Macaca mulatta: one gene and its partner. The protein of the gene in region 2 interacts with the protein of the main gene of each other region in a pairwise test. Links are inferred from orthologs where the notes say so. Each region holds a gene or a part of one and is shown on either strand. Other genes may lie near its edges.

Region 1 (9,997 bases), on a different chromosome or scaffold from region 2:
CACCAGCAATCCACTCCCATGACCCTGTTACCTACAGTCTGGTGTAGCTATAAAGACCATTCAAAGATGAGCCAACATATACAGTCACAGAAACAGAGAAACAAATGCTTTTGCAGCTACTATCCTTTCTCTTTAACAGGGTGCCATCTCCTGCCCTTAAAACAGCACTAAAGAGCCATTGAACACGACTGTATAACCCAAGGCAGTGTAAAGAGACAGCAGGCAATGCAAGGCTCTATTTCCAGAAGGACTAAGAGCAAGACATTCTTCTCCTAAAGCCAGAGAGCTTGCTTCTCAATCACCAATTGCACAGTGCATCCCATTGCAGAACCACTGAATATTTAATTTCACCCCACCCTCACATGATTAAAGACCACAGGAGACTCTCTCATAATCCCAAAGCCACTGGTGACTTCAAGATTCAGATTTCCGAGGTTCAGCTAATTTCAGCTCTCCTAAGTTAATTCTAACTGTGAAAATTACACATCTTCCTTTTTCTACGCAGTCTCCTAACTTCAGCCCAGGCAACCCAAGTGCAGGTCTACACTGATGGAAACTTCTCCCTGTTTTCCAGCAGAGGGTGTGTTTACCAGGACCTCTGCACCCTACCAGAGCCTGTTTTGTTGTTTTGATCTCCCGGAGCTCCATCAGACATTCCAGTAAGGGGAGGAGGCTGGAGTGTTTTTACACAGGAGCGTTTTATGGGACAATCTGGGCTCATAAACATGGGTGCTCTCCTTTCACCAGATATTTAACCACGGGAGAATAAAATGACATATCCTTTTGAATGTCACCAAACGGGTGTGACTCCTAATGGCACAACCTTATCTTGAGGTCACCAAGGCCCCGACATAGGTCTCCTCACTCAGAAACGGGAACACCAATACCCCCCACTACCTTCCTCACAGGCCTGCTCTGATAATATGTTCACTATGTAAATGCAAAGCATTAATAACCAAGGCGAAACACAACACAAATTTCCACGAAATAAAAATGCTGTCTTCCAGCAATTCTTGTAGCCTCACAGGAAAAGAAAATCAGTCACGTATTACGGTCCTACAGAGCAAAAAATCAATCAATCAATCAATCAATCAATCAAAAAAAAGCACCTCCTAATGCCAGTACTAGCTTGGAGTCTCCGCAAAGCCCATTCTCACAGCGGATCGCGGTAGTTCTTGCCAGTGGCCAGCAGATGGCAGTGTTGGTCGAAGGACGTGCGTCCAGGGGTTGCGACACAGACGCGTCTGCCAGGAATTCTGAGCTCCACTATCCCAAATCTTAACTTCCAGTCTCCCCCTTCCTTAGGCTGTACTTTTAGCTTTCGTGGCGACCTCGGTTGAAAGCCCGCGGGGTTTGAGCAGAAATACGAAAACTGCTGTTGAAAATGGCTAAATCTCCTCGGGACCCCAGAAGAATTCGGGGTAGGCGGACATCTCCCCATCGTCCCCATCACCATCCCCATCACTGGGAGCGGGTGCGCTGGGACAGCGGGGCTTCAGGAGCCGGGAAGACGACGCTGCCGGGCCAGGCCGCAGAGACTCAGCCGGACTCGCTACTCGGGTTCTGTAAAACCCACGCTCTCGACACCTCAGCATTTCCGCCCCCTCGGGGCGGGGGACCGCCTTGGCCGCGACGCCGTTCCCGGGCTGCGCTGCCCTATCTGTCCGCGCGACACCACTGCCCCTCATAAACCAGCCTGGCGAAGGCCGCGACGGCCGCGCAGCCCGGGAACCGCGGGCGCATTAGAAACGACTGTTCCCGTTGCACAATAACGCAGGGTCGTATAACAAACAAACAGCAACAGGCCGCCCGAGGGGAAAGGGAGCTGGCGAGGGGCTGGAACGCAGAAGACGGCGCCTGTCCCCCGAGAACGCACGGGACCCATCCTCCTCCATCCTCCCCTGCTTCTCCCACATTGAACTAAAAGGACGCTCCATTCTCAATCCAAACCCAGCGACCTCGGCCCCCTCTCGTCCACCCGGCGCTTTCTGGGCCCACACAGAGCCTGCGAGGCGTCCACTGGCGGCCCGGAGGAAAGGAAAGGTGACCCAGGTTAGCCTCCGCTCCGGGCCCCCGGGGTTCCAGCGCCGCGCTCCACTGAGATCCGGGCGCCGACCGCCCGGGGCTGGGGAAAGCGGGATGCGCCCCCAGAGCCCACTAGAGGGCGCGACAGCCCCGCGAATCTTACCCGGCTCGCCGGCCCGCTAGCCCACAGCACAGGCTCCTGGTCCCCGACAGCGCTGCCGGGAGTGCTGCGCGCAGACTTCACCCGGGAGGCTCTGCGCTCGGACAGTCCAGCCCCAGCCACCGTCCGGTTTCTGACCCCGGGATCCAGAGGAACACTGCGCGGTCGGCTCGCCCTCCCGCCTCCACCACGCCCTCGGCGGCTCGGTTGTCCTGGGGTTGGTGGCGATGCCCAGCCGCTCCCGGGACCTGCGTCCGTGCGCGCCGCACTCTGTACCTCAGAGCTGCAAAGGCCGCCGCGCCCCAGGCACAAAGCTCGGCGTTTGCATTGTTTTCAACTGAGACCCGAGAGGGGGCCGGGCAGGGTGTGGGGAGAGGGGGGAGAGCGGGAAGAGAGGCCGGGCGGGTGGGGGAAAAGGGGCCGAGGGGTTTAGGGTTACAGGCGCTCGCCAGCGCCTCCTATGGGCACGAGAGCCGCCCGGCAGTGGGTAGCGGCTCACATGGAATGCTGGAGAGAGCTAGCCTGCGCCCTCTCGGCATTTAAGAACTGTTCCTGGCCCGGCGCGGTGGCTCACGCCTGTAATCCCAACACTTTGGGAGGCTGAGGTGGGCGGATCACCTGAGGTCAGGAGTTCGACACCAGCCTGGCCAACATGGTGATACCGTCTCTACTAAAAATACAAAAATTAGCCTGGCGTGGTGGCGGGCACCTGTAATCCCAGTTACTTGGGAGGCTGAGGCAGGAGAATCGCTTGAACCCGGGAGGCGGAGGTTGCAGTGAGCCGAGATCGCACCACTGCACTCCAGCCTGGGCGACAGAGTGAGACTCTGTCCAAAAAAAAAAAAGTGCCCTCTGGTGCCAGCTTGCCCGACACGCGCCTTAGCCGCCTCTGCCCCCTGACAAGTCCGCGCCCACCCGCGCTTGTAGCTACCCTTTCGCGGGGGCCAAGAAACTGCAGCAGGAGGCAGGGAAGGAGGCGCCCCAAGTCGGGGTTCCCATTATTCCCTCCTACAATCTACTTTTTCAGCCCATCCCGGGTTCGCTCACTGATCAGTTTAAAACAAAAGGAAATGCCGCCGAGCCACTTCAGCAAACGACAACCATCTGGCAGAAACTGAACTAGGGCGAAGTTGGGAGATGCCATTTGCCCCGATCCTGTATCTTGCGCCCCAGGCGAGACCGAAAGATTATCTGCCGCCCCAAGGCTGATGCTGCGGTGGACCCGGCGAGTTAGACCAGGGGGACCCTGAGACCCACACCTTTCGGTCACTGATCAGGCTTTTAGCTCTTTTCCTAGAATTGCCACTTTTCCACCAGCAACGTATAACCTGGTCGCAGCTCCCCGGAGGTCAGAGGGAGTCCTTCCCTGCGGGGTCTGCAGGAAGGCGCTGGCCACCACGTCCCCAAAATGCGTCCTGCCGCTGCGCGCCGCCCACGGTCTGTCCCCAGGAGGCACAAAATGGGCCCGCCTCGGCGCCAGACGTGTTTGCAGCTGGAAAGCCCAGCCCAATGCCCCTCCCCCTGCATCCCTCCTCAGTCCGCGTCCCGAGAGGAAACTGGCCCAGGGGCGGAGAGCTGGGAGCCTGGGCTCTCCTTCAAGTCCCTCTCGATCTACGGATTTAAACAAGAGCCAGGGCACCGGGGGCTAACGACGGGTTCATTCTTGGCGTCCCCCCACTCTCGTTCCTCCTCACTCTTGTGAACGAGGTCCAGCTGCACTTGGCTCAACCCAAAACTGTGCAAGCTCCGAAGTAGGGCCTGACCTGTGCGTCAAAGCGAGGCTGCTCGGCCTCGCGCCTGTCGGGAAGGCGAGGCAGGGCCTCCTCATAGTGAGGATTGTGGAAAGGAGGAGGCCGAGGAGAGAGGGAGAAGAGGGAGGGGATGCAATTCGGCAGTGCGGGGGTCCAGATTGACCAGATTAGGGGTCGGGGGTGGGACAGCGCGGCGGCTGGTGAGGTGCGCACGCCCGGGACCCCTTCCTCCCCTTCTGTGGCTGCGGGATGTTTGTTGGGTGAGATGCACTGCGGAGGATTGTCGTGCCTCGTTTGCCCTGGATGCCTCTCCCTGCTCCAAAAATCTGTCTAGTTCTGGTCAGGAGCGACCGCGGCGAGGCGAGTCGGTCCAAAACATTGAGCAATTCGGCCTCGGAGCCAAAAAGCCATTTCCCACACCGCCCAGCCCGGGGCTTTTCGGACGTGGGGCGGTCGGGACCTGATAGGGGTCCCATCCATGCTTGCCTCCCACCCAGGGAGATGGAGTGAGTGGCAAGTTCTTCCAGGCACTCTTTGCGCACATCCTGAGGTCTTAGCAGAACTGGGGGAGCGAAGTGCGGGACCGGCCCTCTGGCTGCAGGAGGGATGCACAACGGACAGCCGGCCTGGGCAGCAAGTCCCTCCCGACCAAGACTCGAGGCCAGGTCACCGACAGTTCCCGCACACCTGGCCCGGCCCCGGCTCCTGGCTTCCTCCCGCAACCGGACTGGGGTCGGGCCACACTCCTTGTCGCTCCGAACTGGCCGTCACCCTCTCGGAATAGAACAGCTGATCCCACATATTCAGAGTCAAACGGACGCAGCCCGCTCCCCGGACGCAGCCGGGCGGAGCTAATCGTGTATAAACCTTGTTTCCATGGGGGTAGACAGCAGAGGAAGGAGAAGTACGCACAGACGGCTCTGAACCCGGCAGGGAGAAGAATGGAGAAAAAGGGCGACTAGAGAGGACCGAGCAGCGCTGGGCGAGCGCAGACGGCAAGTGCCGTGCACCCCCGCGCGGAGAGGGGCGCCGGGTAGGGGGTGCCCAGGGCTCAGTTGCCCGGAGGGAGAATGTGGTTTACCTCCCACCTTTCTCTTACCTGCAAACAAATTTCCCCAGTTCCAAGTGGTCCCTAACTTACAAGAAGTTCGACACTTTCCTGGAGACCTTTCCTCTCTTCCTGCCTGAGGCCAGAACTGAGCGGCAGCAGAGCCCCGGGCAATGCAGAAACGGTTCCACCGAGGAGGGGGCGCAGGGAGACGGGCGGGGGCGGGGGCCACGGCGCACAATGAGGACCCCTTGGTGTGCGGTTCGAAATTCCTCAAATCCCAGTTGCTGGAATGCGAGGCGACATCGACTTCTTCACTCAGGGCCAAATGTGTTTGTCATTATTCCAGACCGCCCGCCCGCGCCGCCGCTGTCGCCCCCGCGCTAGGGCGTGCAACCCGAGCGTACAGCCGAGCAGGCACCCGCTCTCCCTAGCACCTCACTGACCCGACAAACCCCTCCAGAGCGCCCCAAACCCTTGCCCACGCCCGCGCCCCTCTGCTTGTCCCGCAGCCGCGTCACCGCTGCGCCAAATCTGGCCCGGACTCTCACCCAGAGCAGCGCCGTCCAGTAATTACGCGCATTCGACCGGCTCCATGTGCTGCAGGCCAGCACGGAGGTCCGGTCTCCAGCCGAGCCCTGCCCGCCTCCTGCGACCAGCAACCCCTTCCCGCGCCCCCCTCCGCGCTCCCCTCTCCCCACCTCCCCTGGTCCCCCAGCCGCGCTCCACACCACGGGCTGCAGCGCTGTCCCGCCAAACCGCAGGCGAGGAATGAAAACACTCATTTAAAACCTGTCGCCTTCCAGGACCCACTGCCAAGAAGAGGGCAAACACCTCTGCCTCCACCCCCAGTTCCTTGGTGTTCGGCCCAGTATTCATGAACACCACCCCCACTCCCAAAAGAAACCTCAAAAATGTAAGCCTAAACAATTTCTTTGGGAGGCCATAGGGTTGTTAGAAAAACATTGTTTTTTAAAAATAGGTCTGGAAAATGTGTGTTTAAAAAAAAATCCCTAGACTTTCTAATTCTATGGTTATCTCCCACCCATCCCCAAGTGAAGTTTATTCCGAAAAAAAAAAAAAAATTCCTCTCTGGACACACATTTGGAATCCAGCTCCATTTTTTTTTCTTGTCGCCCAAAGTTTGAAGTTACTTCCCTTTCTCCAGTCCCAGAGTCTGATCAGGGACTTCTCTTATAAACAAAAAATCATTTTTTCTTCTTCCTTACCTTCTCCTATGTTATTCCGCAATGAATGTCCCACACATGGAGTAAAGAGTGTGTCCACGGCCTCCAATGATCTGTTGTAGTCTCCTCCTCTGTTTCTCTCCCTGTAGCTCCAACAGTAACGGGCTCAAAAACCGCGTTTTGTAATTGATTCAATGTTATAGTCCATCCTTCTAAAACTAATCATTTGCTCTAAGTAAATAGCTGTCAGGAAATAAGCCCCCCCCCGAACCTTGGTCTCTTCAAAATAAAAGTTTCGCTCAAACTCCCCTGCGCTCTGAAGCTCCCAGTCTCCAGATTGCGCCTTCGCTTTTTGCTCTTACGCAATCAGGGGGTCCAGTCCCAACCCCCAGACTTCGACAACAACTGGGGGGGCGGGGAGAAGCCGACCAGATGGGATGGGGGGGTGGAAGGGGGAGGTGTTGGTGCTCTGCCGGGAAAGCGGTTTTGTGAAACTACAAACAGCCCATCATTTCCAGAATGAGTTTGCCTCCCCATTTTGGGGTTATTTTCTTAGACTGCTATAGTTTTGTGTTCTCTTTGAAAACAAGAAAAGGAACATACAAAATTGCATTTAATACCCAGAGAGAATATAAATCTAGAATCAAGAAACGTCCCTTCTACAAACTCGGCCCAACTAGAAATAGGGCCCTCGGGAGAAATCTCCAAGCGGTTGCGCGGTTTTGAACTAAGGGTCTTTTAGGGGAAGGGCTAAGGGCTATATAGTTGCTAGTTCTTTAACGGGATTAGGCAAACTGTTGAGTCCAATATGACAACGATGAGTTTTTGTTTTGTGTGTGGGGTGGGTGTGTGTGTGTGTGTGTGTGCAAGACTGGGTGGAGTCTGAAATAGGGTACAAAGAAAAGAGGGTCTGTGTAGGTTTGGAACATTCTCCGATAGAACGACCTTTACTCCCTTTAAGTCACTTATCTGGTCGTGCCTTTGTTTTGGGGGTTATCTGGGCGAGGTTGCCCTGGCTTCTAACTCGCATACAAAAAAGTTCAAGCTTGGGCGTTTGGGGAATCGTCCCGCCGCCTCCGCATCGTGGGAGAGGGTGCCTTTTGATTCTCCCTCCGTTCCCTCCCGCCGAGTGGGTCGAACCCTACGAATGCTTCGGAGTTGACAGCTGAGCCCCAAACCCTGCGCCCAAGGCGCGAGGCCAGTGTCGGGAGGAAACGATCCTGCCGGCGAGGGAAAGGGGGCGCTGATGCTCCAGAAACCAGACCTGGGCAGAGTGGGGCTTCCCAGCGACAGCGGGGGATGGGAGCGCGTTCACCTTTCTCGCTCTCTGATTTTTGAATTCTCTTGTTGGGGTTGGGGGTCATCCTTCATCCTTCTCCCTCAACCCCACCCCCACACAAGCACTCTGAAAATGGCCAAGGTGGCCAGGTTGGGACTGGCACGTCCAACAGCCGTCTCCTCCTTCACCAGGAGTGGACACAGTGCAGTGGACAGAGGAGAGTCACAGAGAAGTACTCCAACGGGCGCGGTGCTGTGTCTAATTAGGACAGGATCTTGGGGTATCAGCCTCGGAAATAGGGCGCCTGGGGCTGCGCTGGGGGCCCCATTGCCCCAGCTCTTCTACGCGACCTGCTCTCGTGCATCTTCAGCTCGGGTGACTGCACAGCTCGCTATTACTTCCACATGTTCCTTCAGGAAATCATTGAAGGCAAATATATGAACAGCCCCTTGTTCGGAATGCTAACAGGATACCGTAATGTTTGTAGAAAATGAGCGGGACAAACGATTCCCCCCAAAAATCAGAGTGCGGAATAAAAGGCAAACGCGGCTGCTGGGCTTCTTGCTGTTAAGTTGAGAACTGGGTTTTTAGGCGAGTTGCCCCAGAGGGTAGGACGCGAGACAGAGAGCCTACCCAGAAGGACTGCTTTGTTTCGGCGACACTGCTAGCCCGGTCAAGCCAGGGTCTTCCGTCCGCAGGGCCCCAGCGCTCTCCGCCCACAAATGGTAACTTCACAGTTCATTTCAGAGCAGTTTAATGGGGCCCGAAAAGCAGCCCGGGCGGGAGTGGCTCCAGGCAGCGACTCCTCAGGAGTTTAAAGCAGAAAGCAATGGATGAGCAAGCGAGCACCCAGTTGTCCTTCTGGTAGTAATTACCTGCCTAATTTGAATGATGCCTTTGTTATGACCATTAACAAACATTTGTTAAAGGTTTCCATGTGTGACATTCTGGAAGGTTTAAAGGCCTGAGGAGCTGACTCCGGGGATAGTGCCCCGGTGGGGGGTGGCGCAAGAAAGCAAATGGTTGGGGGAAGATTTCGCGGAGAGACTGTGCAAAGAAGAGAGGTCAACATCTGCCTCCTCTGCAAAACAAAATAAACCCAGTGGTCAGGAGCAACCTCCGGACAGGAGACCCTCGAACCGAGGCGGTTGGTTCCTTAAACCGAGTCCTGCCCCTACAGCCCCCGCCCCTACCACTGCTCATAGGCGGGTTTGAATCCTGTTTTCCGCCTTCTAAGGCTGGTACGAGGCTGGTTCGGGAGAAGTCGGGTCTGCGCCCGGCAGTCAGTCCGGAGCGTCGGGTGAAGGCGGGGCGAGTTCTTGCCGCGTTCTCCCAGTGTTTGTTCTAAGATCCTTCCAGATTGGTCCCTCGACGCCCTGGGTCCGGGATGGCCCCGGAACCGCAGGGGGCCAGAAAGCTTGCCCTCCTGAGGCGGGCTGCGGGTCTTTTCTCCCCTTCCTGTGCTTCTGACTGGGCGCCGTGCGGGAGGTGGGAGGAGGGTACCAGGCCATCACGTGTACCCGGAGAGGAGCGACCTGCACCGGCCTGGGCAGCTCTGCGCAGATCTCAACCCGCGCCCGGATTCTAATTTTCAGCCTCTTGGGGTTTTTTGTTTTGTTTTTTCCTTAAGGGATTATCAAGGGGTTAAGAATGTGGGTTTTCTCCCCAAACGGGGAGTCGGGGAGGCTGCGTGCGGAGAGGAAGGAGGCTCAACTCCCGAATTGAGCCGGGCCGGGAAGTTAGGAGAAAAGGGTAGGGACTGTGACAGTTCTGTCCTCGGCCTTGCGCATCTACGCCAGCAGGCGACATGAAATTGGGAGCAAGGGCATAAAAAGGTGCAGTCGATGAGCTCACCTTCAAAAAGAGGGCCTCGTAAACTTTTTACAACCAGATCAAAACGGTCACTATAAACAAAAGCAAAATCTCGCCGTGCCTTGCCCTGCCTCCAGGGCCCGTTCTCCCGGCCCCAACTCCCGGGCGAGGGCGGCCGCAGCTCCGAGGGCCACACCTTTGGCTTTGAGGGCGCTTCCCGCTGAGTTGGCTTTTTGTGTCTTCTCCTCCACTGCTCTCCAGCCCCACCCCCAATTGTACTTTCCTCGAAGAATTCAAGTCCGTTTGCTCTAGAAGCCTTACGAATGTAACAGTTATCAAAGCCGTTAGTTGTGAAAATCACGTTTAAACTTGTGAATTATTTTTTTCAAATGGTGATGGGCGGGGCAAGGGAACAGAGGATGTTTCTGGCTTCACAGTTTGAAAACGAAGGGCCCGTTTGGTGGTTTGCAAAAGAAAATGGTGCGAACTGCTCCTTCCCTCACCCCCTTTAACCCTTGGCTGCATCTGGAATAGCCCCCTCCCTGGGTCCAGCGCGGAAGGGTCCTTTGCCCGGAGGTAGTGGAGGCGACGCACAGATGTGAGGGATCCTCGCAGAGAGAGGGACGCCCTGGCCTCGGGTCTGCCCCAGCTGAGGCTTGTAAGCTAGCTCTAAGGAGTCTCTTTGCACGCTCAGAATTCAGAACGGCACAAGTCTTGAAAAAGGAGGAATTCTAC
Region 2 (9,944 bases):
AGCTGCTTCGGCCTCCCCCGGCCCTATATGGCCTTCATGCCCTTGACATGAGGCTGTTTGAGGTTTCCAGGGCCACTGCTTTGGGGAGGCATCTGCAGAAGCCACTGGGCAGACAGGCCTGACGGAGGTGGGCAGCGCCAGGAGGCACGGCCAAGGGCAGGCATGGGCGGCATGTGGGCATCAGTCGTGGGGCCCTGCCACGATGCGGTGTCCTCCACGCTACGGCCCGGCAGCCCTCCTCTGGGACCCCTCCTAAGCCACCAACACCCCTGACTCAGGACCGAGCCCCCAGAACCACAATCCCAGGCCCTCCTGCTTCCCAGGCTGGCCCAGGGGCCTGCGTCCTGATTCCAGGCCCCACCCCACCTTCCCTGCATCCATCCTGTTCATGCTGCATGCCAAAGCCTGGGGCAGGGCAGCTCTCTGTTCCCCACTTGCCCTCCCCAGGAAGGCCCAGGAGGCCAGTGGCAATCCCCAGCCCCCACCTTGGGGACCAGTGGGTTAAAAGGCCCTAAAGCCTGGTAAACTCTGGCCTGCATGAAAGGACCCTGCTGCCAAGAGGCCTCGCGTCACAGCACCTACGAGCCCATCGCCACGAAGCCCTGTTACTGTTTATCCACCTACCAACGAACTACGCTCACAAAAGTAACAATAATAAAATAATAACAGATGCCATTCACTTGCCAAATGCTATCTTCAAGCTCGACCACTACCCTGCAAGGAAGGGTGTTTACTCCCACTTTACAGAAGAGGAGACTGAGGGCTAGAGAGGGCACAAGACTTACCCAGGTAAGGAAGTAGTGGAGCCAGGATTCGAACCCAGGCCCCTCCCAGCAGAGCCCAGGCCCCCAGGCTTCCTGCCTGGCAGAAGCGTGCCTCGGCTGGGTTCTCTGTGGGCAGAGGGCAGTCTCACTATGACTCGTGCCTGACACTTAGCAAGTGTGGAATGGAACTGTCTACATCCAGACAGGCAGGGTCCCCGTTCCCAGTCTGCAGATGATGAAATGGAGGCTTCTCCTCTGAGAGCTGGGCCATGCCCAGGGGACAGAAATCTTTTACGGAGTGCAGAGAGTGGACCGGATGCAACTTGTGCCACGTCACATCGCAAAAGGGACAGAGCTGGGGTATGAACCCAGGCAGTCAGGCTCTGGAAACTGAGGTCTCAGCCTCTCCACATCACCATCTTCCAGGAGCTCAGGTCGGGTCCCACCCCAGCCGACCCTGCACAACCTCTGCTCCTCGCCCTCCCTGAGTCCCAGATGCACAGCTGAACCTGAGGTGTCCCCTGGACCAAGGGTAGTAAACAGTCACCGCCACCTGCTCCTGCTCTGTGAGCAAGAGGAAGCAGAGCCCCTTGCCTAACAGAGGAAGTTCCTGGGTGGGGCACAGAGGGCCTGCCCAGGGGTTCCCAGCCTAGTCCGAGGCGCAGGAAGGGGCCACCTCCAGTGCTCCAGCTCAGGGCTAGGTGCCACCTGCAGGACACGTAACCCCCTCCCCACCCACCAGGCCAGCAGGCATCGCCCCTTTAAGCTGTAGGCAGCCGGCTGGCATGCCCAGCAGGTGAGTCAGCACTCAGTGCCCGCTGACTCACCGCCGGAAGCCTCCGCTGCCCCGGCCTTCTCCTCACACAGGCCAACTGAGAACTTTGCTCCCTTTGGGCCCTGGGCCATGGGTTGGCTGACAGAGAGTTTCCTGTGCGTCACAAGAGGGGTGGGGGAAGTCCCCGAGGTGCCACCTCCAGTCTTTCCGACAGCCGGGGGATGGGGGATGGCCACAATAGGCAGGGCTAGGATACGACAGTGCTCCATGAAACCTCAGTGACCCCACTGGGCAGTCAGGAGTCCTACAGCCACAGTCCAAGCTGTGTGAAGATTAGCCATGAAGTGCCCCCACAGGTGGCACTCTTAGGGCAGAAGGGGCAGAACCCACGTTCTGAATGACAACAGGACACACATGGTACCCTCCAAGGACAAATGTGGCTTGCACACATGCCCCCACCCACTGGCCCCAGCGCCGGCCACTTGGCCTCTGATCCCAGCCAGAGATGGCCATGTGGGCAAGAAGGCCAGGGGAAAACCAACAGAGCTGTGGGCCTGAGGGCCTCACACGCTCACGGAAAACTCCCCAGGCCCATGGCAGGAAGGATAGGGCAGGGTACCTGCTGCAAGGCAGGAAGCTCAAAGGTAAAGCTCCAGTAAGGTCAAGCGCCAGCCACTCCCTGCTTTGTTCAAATTCCTTTGAGAAGGTGGAGAAGGGCTCAGTGCTGGGAGGCCCAGTGCCCAGGATGGGGCAGGCACGGGGTGAGGATCTCCACCTGTGGGAGCAGTCCGGCTACTCCATCCAAGCTCAGTTCTGCATCTGTCAAATGAGTGGGATTTTGCAGCAAGTATGCAACAGGCCCAGTGTAAAGCACTGTGCACAAGAGCAGCAGCACCTCTGCCTCAGTCTGTCCTCTAGGTCTGACATGGCCATGAGGACAGGCCCACTGCACATGCTCTGAGCAAGGCCAGGGGTGGGGGCACCCCACCAGCTCAGCTCAGGCATCCAGCATGGGAGGGGCACATAAGGGAGCACGGGGAAGGCCACTGTGGGGATGCAGTCCTAGGGGGAACCCTAGCTCCGCCTGTCACAGCTGCGTGGCCTCAGGCAAGGCACTTAACGCCTCAGTTTCCTTATCTATAAATGAGGCTATGAGGAATAAATGAGAAAATGCATGGCACATGGAAAAAAAGAAGAAGCTCATAGGGTTTTTGGTGAAGGGCATTGCGGCTCTGTCACCACATCCTTCCCCAGATCCCAAAGAGACTACAGGGTCGCTGGGCCTGAGGGAGGTCCCTGACCCTCCATCCAGCTCCCTCAATTTCATCTGCGACCTGGGTCCCTATCTAGAAGTTCATCTTGGCCCTCTCACAGCGTTCTTACCACATCTATGACCCCTCTCCCTTCACAACTCTGCAACTGGAACTTTTATTTTGATCAGGCATTCTCTGCCTGGAGAGCTAAAAAGCCTCCAAAACAAACAGGGCTTCCTACCCTTCCCCAGGCTCTCCAGAGTGGAGAAGTGTCTGATTTCCTGGTTCCCAAGCTCCACGAGGTCTGGGCAGTGCAAGTCCCTCCCCAGACACCTCCCCCCTCAAGTGCCTCCTGAGTTACTCACAGTGGTTGGGCAATGGTCAGGGATCCGGCCTCCCACTTATGTAAGGCATAATTATCCTGCCCACCCGGCTCCAGCCACCACAGCAGCCAGCAGCAGGGGCCAGGAAGAGCCCGTGCCCTCCCCAAGCCCCCACAGGGCTCCCACTGGCCTGCGCCCTCCAGAGCAGAAGAGCGGCTGATCCCCGATGAGGGGCCCACTAGGTGCCCGCTGCTAGATGCTTCCTCCTGCTCACTCTGCGGCTGCAGTTCCAGCAGTGGAGGCCTTTCCAGCAAGAAGAATGGAAACAATAGCGAGATGTGTGCAGCCAGTGTCCCCTGGTGAGCGCCGGCTCTCCGCCAGGCGCTATGCTGAGTGAACACCTCAGAGCTCTTTTGTATTCACCACCCCACGCCACACTCCCGCGTCCACAGAAGCAGGTGTGATTACTTCCAATTTACAGAAAAGGAAACTGAGGCCCAGAGACACCAGGGAGCTTGCTGGGGTGAAGCAGCTGCAGGTTCAGCTAGGCAGGAGGCAGCCCATTCATTACGGCTACGTCCGGTTTGGAAATCTCTCACACAACCCAGCCTACTGAAACTCCGACGCACCAAAAACATCCTTTCCTCTTCCTGAAAAAAAAATTCCCCTTTTGCCCTCCGAGTCTCATCCTTCCCCCTCCGCATGACAAATCCTGCTGCTGCTGCCACCTCACAAAAATTTCCAGGAAGGCCAGCTACTTGGAGAAGAGCAAATCCCTTGCACAGCCAGCACCCTGGCCTGGCGGTTGGCCCAGATCCCAGGCAGCCAGGAGAGGAATAAGATGGGGTGAGAACCCCAAGTGCAGGGAGAAGCTTGCAACTCAAGACAGAGAGAAGCCAGTAGAGAGGGGGCTGTACCTTAGGGAGGGGTGGGAGGACAAGGGAGGTTCCTGGGAGCACAGGGCTGCAGGACAGGGTGCAGGCCAGCCAGGGAAGGGGCAACATAGGGCCTATAAGGATAAGAAGAGCTGGAGGAGAGAAGGACGGGGAGTTCCGAGCTGGGGTGTAGCCAGAGCACCCGCATAGCGGGTACAGTGAGGTCCGAAACAACAGAAGCACTCTGGGGCCCAGATGGAGACTTAAGTTAAATCCCAGCCTGGATACAGCCCTGGGACCCCAAGTTGGAAATGGGAGTGGGTGCTGCCCAAGGACGCAGATGGAGGCCAGTGTGAATCTCACCTGGGTCCCTCTGAGGGAGAAGACTGAGAGAGTTCCTGTCCAGGCTACAGCCATAAGGCCCAAATGAGGTCAGAGTGAGGCTCCTGACTTGGATGGGGTGAGCAGAACAAAGTCCTAGTCTGGGTCCAGCCTGGGTGATCTCGGGCCTGAATGCAGTCCCAAGGCCTAACCTGGGGGTCCAGGTGAGGACCCAGGCTGCGGCCGGTCCCGGGGCCCCGAACAGGAAGGGGTTCCGGGACCGGACGCCGCTGCCAGGTCGAGAACAGGATGGGGTGGGACCAAAGAAATTCGGTCGGGGTTTGCAGCCCGGCCCCAGATTGGGCGCGGGGTCAGGCCGAGGTTCCGGCCGGGATCGCCTACCTTTGGACTGGGGCATGCTGGCGGGCTGGCTTGAGGCGGGCGACTCCATGCTGCAAGCGGGTCCTGGACGGCGGTGGGGACTAATCTAGAGGACTGCGGGCTCCACCGGGGCCGAGCACGCTCATGGCTGCGGGCAGACGGCCCGGGCCAGGCGGAGGAGCAGAGGCGGCGGCGGCGACTACTGCAAGGACGAGTCCGCGACGGGCGGCGCCGGAGCCAGACTGGGCAGCGCCGGGGGGACCCCGGCCGAACGGCGCTGACTCAGGCCCCGCCCCTGCGTGTCCGATTGGCCCTTTCGTTTCCAAGGCCCGTCCCCTGCCTATCAGACGCCGGTCTGTCCCTGCCTGTCAATTACACGCCCCACCCTCCGTGGGCCCAGGATCCGGGCCCCTCCCGCTCTCTGTCAAGTCTGCCAGCCGCCCGAAAAACCCAAGTCCGGTCAGGCTCCGCCCACCTGGACTAAAGCCGCGCCCCTCGCGCTGCCCGTCAACACGCAAGCCCCACCCACTCCCGGGACCCACTGAGCCCGCTGCTCCTTGCAAGCGCCAGGCTCCGCCCAGCACCCCCAGACGCGCAGCCCCGGCGGGTGCGATGAGTGGGCGCGTTCTCCCGGGTGCGTCGTCTGGAAAAAACCCGAGATCCCTAAAGGTGGCACGGCTGGGCCTGGCGAGGCGGGCGGGGGTTAAAAGTGCGCTGCTGGGCTGCCTCCTGGCTCTCTGAACCTGCAGCTGCCTCACCCCAGCAAGCTCCCTGGTGTCTCTGGGCTTCAGTTTCCTTTTCTGTAAATTTGACCCGGGTTCAGATCCGAGTCGGCAACTTTGTAGCGGAACTAGCCTTGGTCAGGTCGTGACACCTGAGCCTCAGTCTACGCATCTGTGAGCGGGCGGCGGTGACAGCCGTCTGACGGCGCTGCTCGCTGACACGCACTGAGGGCCCGGCGCCAGCAAACGTCCGCCCGCGCCCGCGCTCCAGGCGCCCGGCCAGGGCGCGGGGTTGGTGGTGAGCTCAGCGATGCCCGGTGACGAGGCAACACGAGGAGTTGTCGTGGCTGGTTGTTGCTGCCCCTGTTCTACACCGGGGGAAACTGTCTCAGAGGGAGTGAGGCAGCATGCGGTGCATTTTATCCCACGAGCCCGGAGGCCCCATCCTGGCTCTCTCCTGGACCTTGGTTCTCTCCTCTCCTCCTAAGATCTCAGTCTGCCCATCTGTATAATGGCTGGATGGACCAGTCCTCTCTTTGCTCCCACACGGAACCTTGGGGGATTTCAGGAACCGCTGACCAATCTGGCGCTGGGATCAGATGACTCTGGATGTAAAGTCAGTGCTAGTGAAGGCAGAAGGTACCAGGCAAAGGTCAAGGGGTCAGCCCCTGGCCTCCAGGCAGACATGAGTGTGTACCCTGTCAGGGACCTCACGTGAGGGAAGCAGATTCCACCACCTGCTAGAAACGCTTGAGGCCGGGCCTGACCTCTGCTTGCCCAGGTGTAAAGTGGGGGTGATGCAGGGCCCCATGCACACAGAGTGGGGAGGGCCACATGAGATAGGAGGGAAGCCTTGCAGCCATCACCATTCTCTTCCTGCGTCTCCTGTTCACAGGCAGTGGGATGGAAAATCATGAGTCTGGGGCTCAGACAGGTGTGAGTTCCAATACCAATTCCTCCACTTACTAGCTGGATGTCCTTAAAGAAGTCACTGAGCAGCTCTGTGCCTCAGTTTACCTATCCCATGGGGACAAGAAGGTCTCTGAAAGCATTTCATGAGTTCAGGAGTGGGAACACCTGGCCTAGGGCCTGGCCCTCACTAAGTGCCCGGGAAATGTGAGTTCAAAAACACTGTTGGCTGCCTCCATCCTGGCCGTATCATCCCTGGTGACCTGCGCTTATCCATCCATAAAATGGGCATCCAGTAGCAGTTTCCTTTCTACCAGAACTGAAAGGCTGGTCCAGCAAGTTTTCTGGATTCAGGCACCGGCCAACAGCCTTGACTTCTGCTCCCCGACACTCTGCCTTGTGCACTCTGCTCCTTGGGATGTTCAAGAGTCTTAGTGTTGCCCCTCAAATGTGCCAGTGATGGTCCTGCTGCAGGAGCTTCACCCTTGCTGCTTCCACCCAGAACATTCCTCCACTCAAGCCTCCTGGGGCTGGTTCCCTCTCATCCCTCAGACTGCCTCCTAAATGAACACGCCTAAGAAGCCTTCCCATCAGTTTGGGGACCTTCCCTTCCCAGGTCCCCAAACTGAGGCACAACACTCATGCTGCTGATGCCTTTGTCACTGACTCAGTTTTTAACACAGCTCTCCCTCCAGACCATCTGCGCCTCATTCCCTGCTGTGTTCCCAATACACAGCCCAGAACCAGGTACATAGTAGGTGCCTGATAAATATTTGAGGAATGAAAAAAGGAAGGAGGAAAGCATCCACAGACCAGGGTGAAGCGACTCCAGTCCCGTGCCAACCTCCTTGGCAGCCAGATGACTCAGACGGGCCCTTGCAAACAAGCAGTTTGTAGATTAGTCAGGAGCCCGATAAACAGCCCAGGAATCACAAAACTCCATGTGAGTGCTATAAATAGATGCATGTGCAAAAGTCCCAGTAGGGTGCCTGGGTGATGCAGGCATCTCCATCTGGGTGCGGTCAGGGAAGGCCTCTCAGAGGAGGTGATTTTGAGACTGGAACTTTAAGGACCAGTAGGAGCTTGCCAGGCAGAGAGGCAAGAAGAGCATCGCTGGAAAGGAACAGCAGAGGCGATGGGTTGGAGATGTAAAAAGGGCCACACATGAGGACAGGGTGAGGGGCCAGACTGGGATGCACAGCTGCATTGCTGCAGCTCAAGAAGTACGATCAAGGACCATCAGAGACAAAGGTCTCTTGCCGGCTTGCTATAGTGACATCTCTTGATTTCTTTCTGTCTGTAAGTGGCACAGTAAGGCTGGGGAACTCCATGACCATGCAGAAATCAGAAGAAATGTTTGACATGGGTCACAAGAGGCTGCCTCTTACCTTGACTCCTAGGAGAAAAGTCCCAAACCCGCTGTCTGCGGATGCAGGAAACTCAGTCTCTGGATGGGAAGGATTGTGGCCAAAGTCAGGATGCAAGCATGATCTGAGGTGGACAGGACCTGGGGTGACAGAAGGCTGTAGAAAGAGGCTGACTCAATAGCATTAACTATAAGTTTTGTGCTTCCAAATCACTTTTGGGTTTTTAAGAATTTCTTGATACTCTTAGAGCCTGCTTTCGATTTTGATCCTTTAGTCTTTCTATTTGTCAGGTGCACGAGATTACCTTCCTTTTTTAGCCTTTTGTCTTGTCACCAACCATTCGTACTTGGTGGCCACATACTTGGAAAAAGGCCGCATGATCTTTTTGGCTCCACTCAATGTCTACGACACCCTGCTTCCTTTGCTTGCACCCCACAGACTATTTCCCTCATCCTATTTACTGCAGCAAATCTCTCCTTAGTTGATGACATTGTGTTTATCTCCCTTTAAAACCCTACCTATCCTGAATGGTCTGTCATTGTCTGCCTTTAAAATCCTTCCTCTTCCTCTATTCTCTAAATAATGATGGGGCTAAGTTATACCCAAAGCTCACTTTACAAAATATTTCCTTGGTGCTTTGCAGAAAATACCAAACAAAAATGCCATTTTAAAAGAGCTGGGCCGGGCGCGGTGGCTCAAGCCTGTAATCCCAGCACTTTGGGAGGCCGAGACGGGCGGATCACGAGGTCGGGAGATCGAGACCATCCTGGTTAACACGGTGAAACCCCGTCTCTACTAAAAAATACAAAAAACTAGCCGGGCGAGGTGGCGGGCGCCTGTAGTCCCAGCTACTCGGGAGGCTGAGGCAGGAGAATGGCATGAACCCGGGAGGCGGAGCTTGCAGTGAGCTGAGATCCGGCCACTGCACTCCAGCCTGGGCGACAGAGCGAGACTCCGTCTCAAAAAAAAAAAAAAAAAAGAGCTGTATTTTTTCTTTTAGAATGTAAGCTCCTCAAGAGCAGGGACAATGTTTTCTGTATGTTCTATTTTGCCTAGTACACTGTAAATGCTCAATAAATATTGATGATGGGAAAAAAAGAGAGAAAGAGAGAGAGGCTGACCCAAGCCCAGGATGTGGGCAGCTCCTTCATTCATTCAACAGGTATTCGTTGAGCACTTACTTGTGTGACCGGCACTGAGAACACAACATTGAACAAGATGGGCACAGCTCCCTGGGGAGGTATGCCCTGGTGTGTGAGCCAGACAAGCAAAATGCCTAAGTCGAATTATGACAGGCCAGGCGTGGTGGCCCACACCTATAGTCCCAGCACTTTAGGAGGCCAAGGCAGGTGGATCGTTTGAGCCCAGTAGTTTGAGACCAGCCTGGGAAACATTGCAAAACCTCGTCTCTACAAAAAGAAAAAAAAAAGTTGGCTAGGCATAGTGGTATGCACCAGTTACTCGGGAGGCTGAGGTGGGAGGATCACTTGAACCCAGGAGGTTAAGGCTGCAGTGAGCCAAGGATATGCCACTGCACTCCAGCCTGGCAGACAGCAAGACCCTGTCTCAAAAAAAAAAAAAAAAAAAAAAAATGCTATGGGGAAAAGTAGGGTAGGGGACAGGGTGTGTGTCTGGACATGGGGGCTATTATTTTAAGGAGGGAGGTCAGGAAAAGCCTCCCTGGAAGGTGCCATATAAGCAGAGACCAAAGGACGTAAGGGAAGGGCCCACAAGGATATGTGGGGGAGAAGCATTCCAGGCAGAGGGAACAGCTGTGCAAGTGCCCTGAGGTGGATGGCTTGTAGGTGAGTAACAAGGAGACCGATGTGGCTGGGTGGTGGGAGCTGAGGGGCCCCTGTTCTCACCTATATACACCCCTTGGACGTGCTCACTCCCACGTGCCCCTTCATACCTGTGCTAGTCCACACATCCCAAATACACACGCACACACACATGAACACAAGGGGGTGCACAAGTGTGTATGTGCATGTGGAGGCACCACATGGGCACGTCCACAGACACAACCCACAGGCACAGCGGTGCACATAGTATATGCATGGCCTTGCCACCAGCTGGGGCCTCCACTGCTTGCTGCCCCACAGCGCCCTCTGGTGACCAGGGCATGGCAGTACTCTAGAGTGCCCAGGAGCTCAGAATCCACTGCCCTCACTGCTTTGACCGCCATCCAGCCTCCTCTTCTCTGTGCTTCCTGCCCCTAGGCCTTCCACACTGCAGCCACAGCCTTCCCAAACAC

The links.
Region 1: the proteins of MAP2K3 (region 2) and PDGFRA come close enough for resonance energy transfer, tested with the Homo sapiens proteins (2 studies listed by BioGRID). The link is inferred for Macaca mulatta from reciprocal best matches to the Homo sapiens genes MAP2K3 and PDGFRA.

The regions. Positions count from the first base shown.
Region 1 is NC_133410.1:79,260,101-79,270,097, forward strand, and holds the start of PDGFRA (platelet-derived growth factor receptor alpha), read right to left. Parts: upstream 6,384-9,997; 5' UTR 6,214-6,383; intron 3,643-6,213; exon of another isoform or gene 3,445-3,642; intron 2,692-3,444; exon of another isoform or gene 2,189-2,691; intron 1-2,188. UniProt on the Homo sapiens protein: Tyrosine-protein kinase that acts as a cell-surface receptor for PDGFA, PDGFB and PDGFC and plays an essential role in the regulation of embryonic development, cell proliferation, survival and chemotaxis.
Region 2 is NC_133421.1:22,176,136-22,186,079, reverse strand, and holds the start of MAP2K3 (dual specificity mitogen-activated protein kinase kinase 3), read right to left. Parts: upstream 4,884-9,944; 5' UTR 4,763-4,883; coding exon 4,714-4,762; intron 1-4,713. UniProt on the Homo sapiens protein: Dual specificity kinase. Is activated by cytokines and environmental stress in vivo. Catalyzes the concomitant phosphorylation of a threonine and a tyrosine residue in the MAP kinase p38.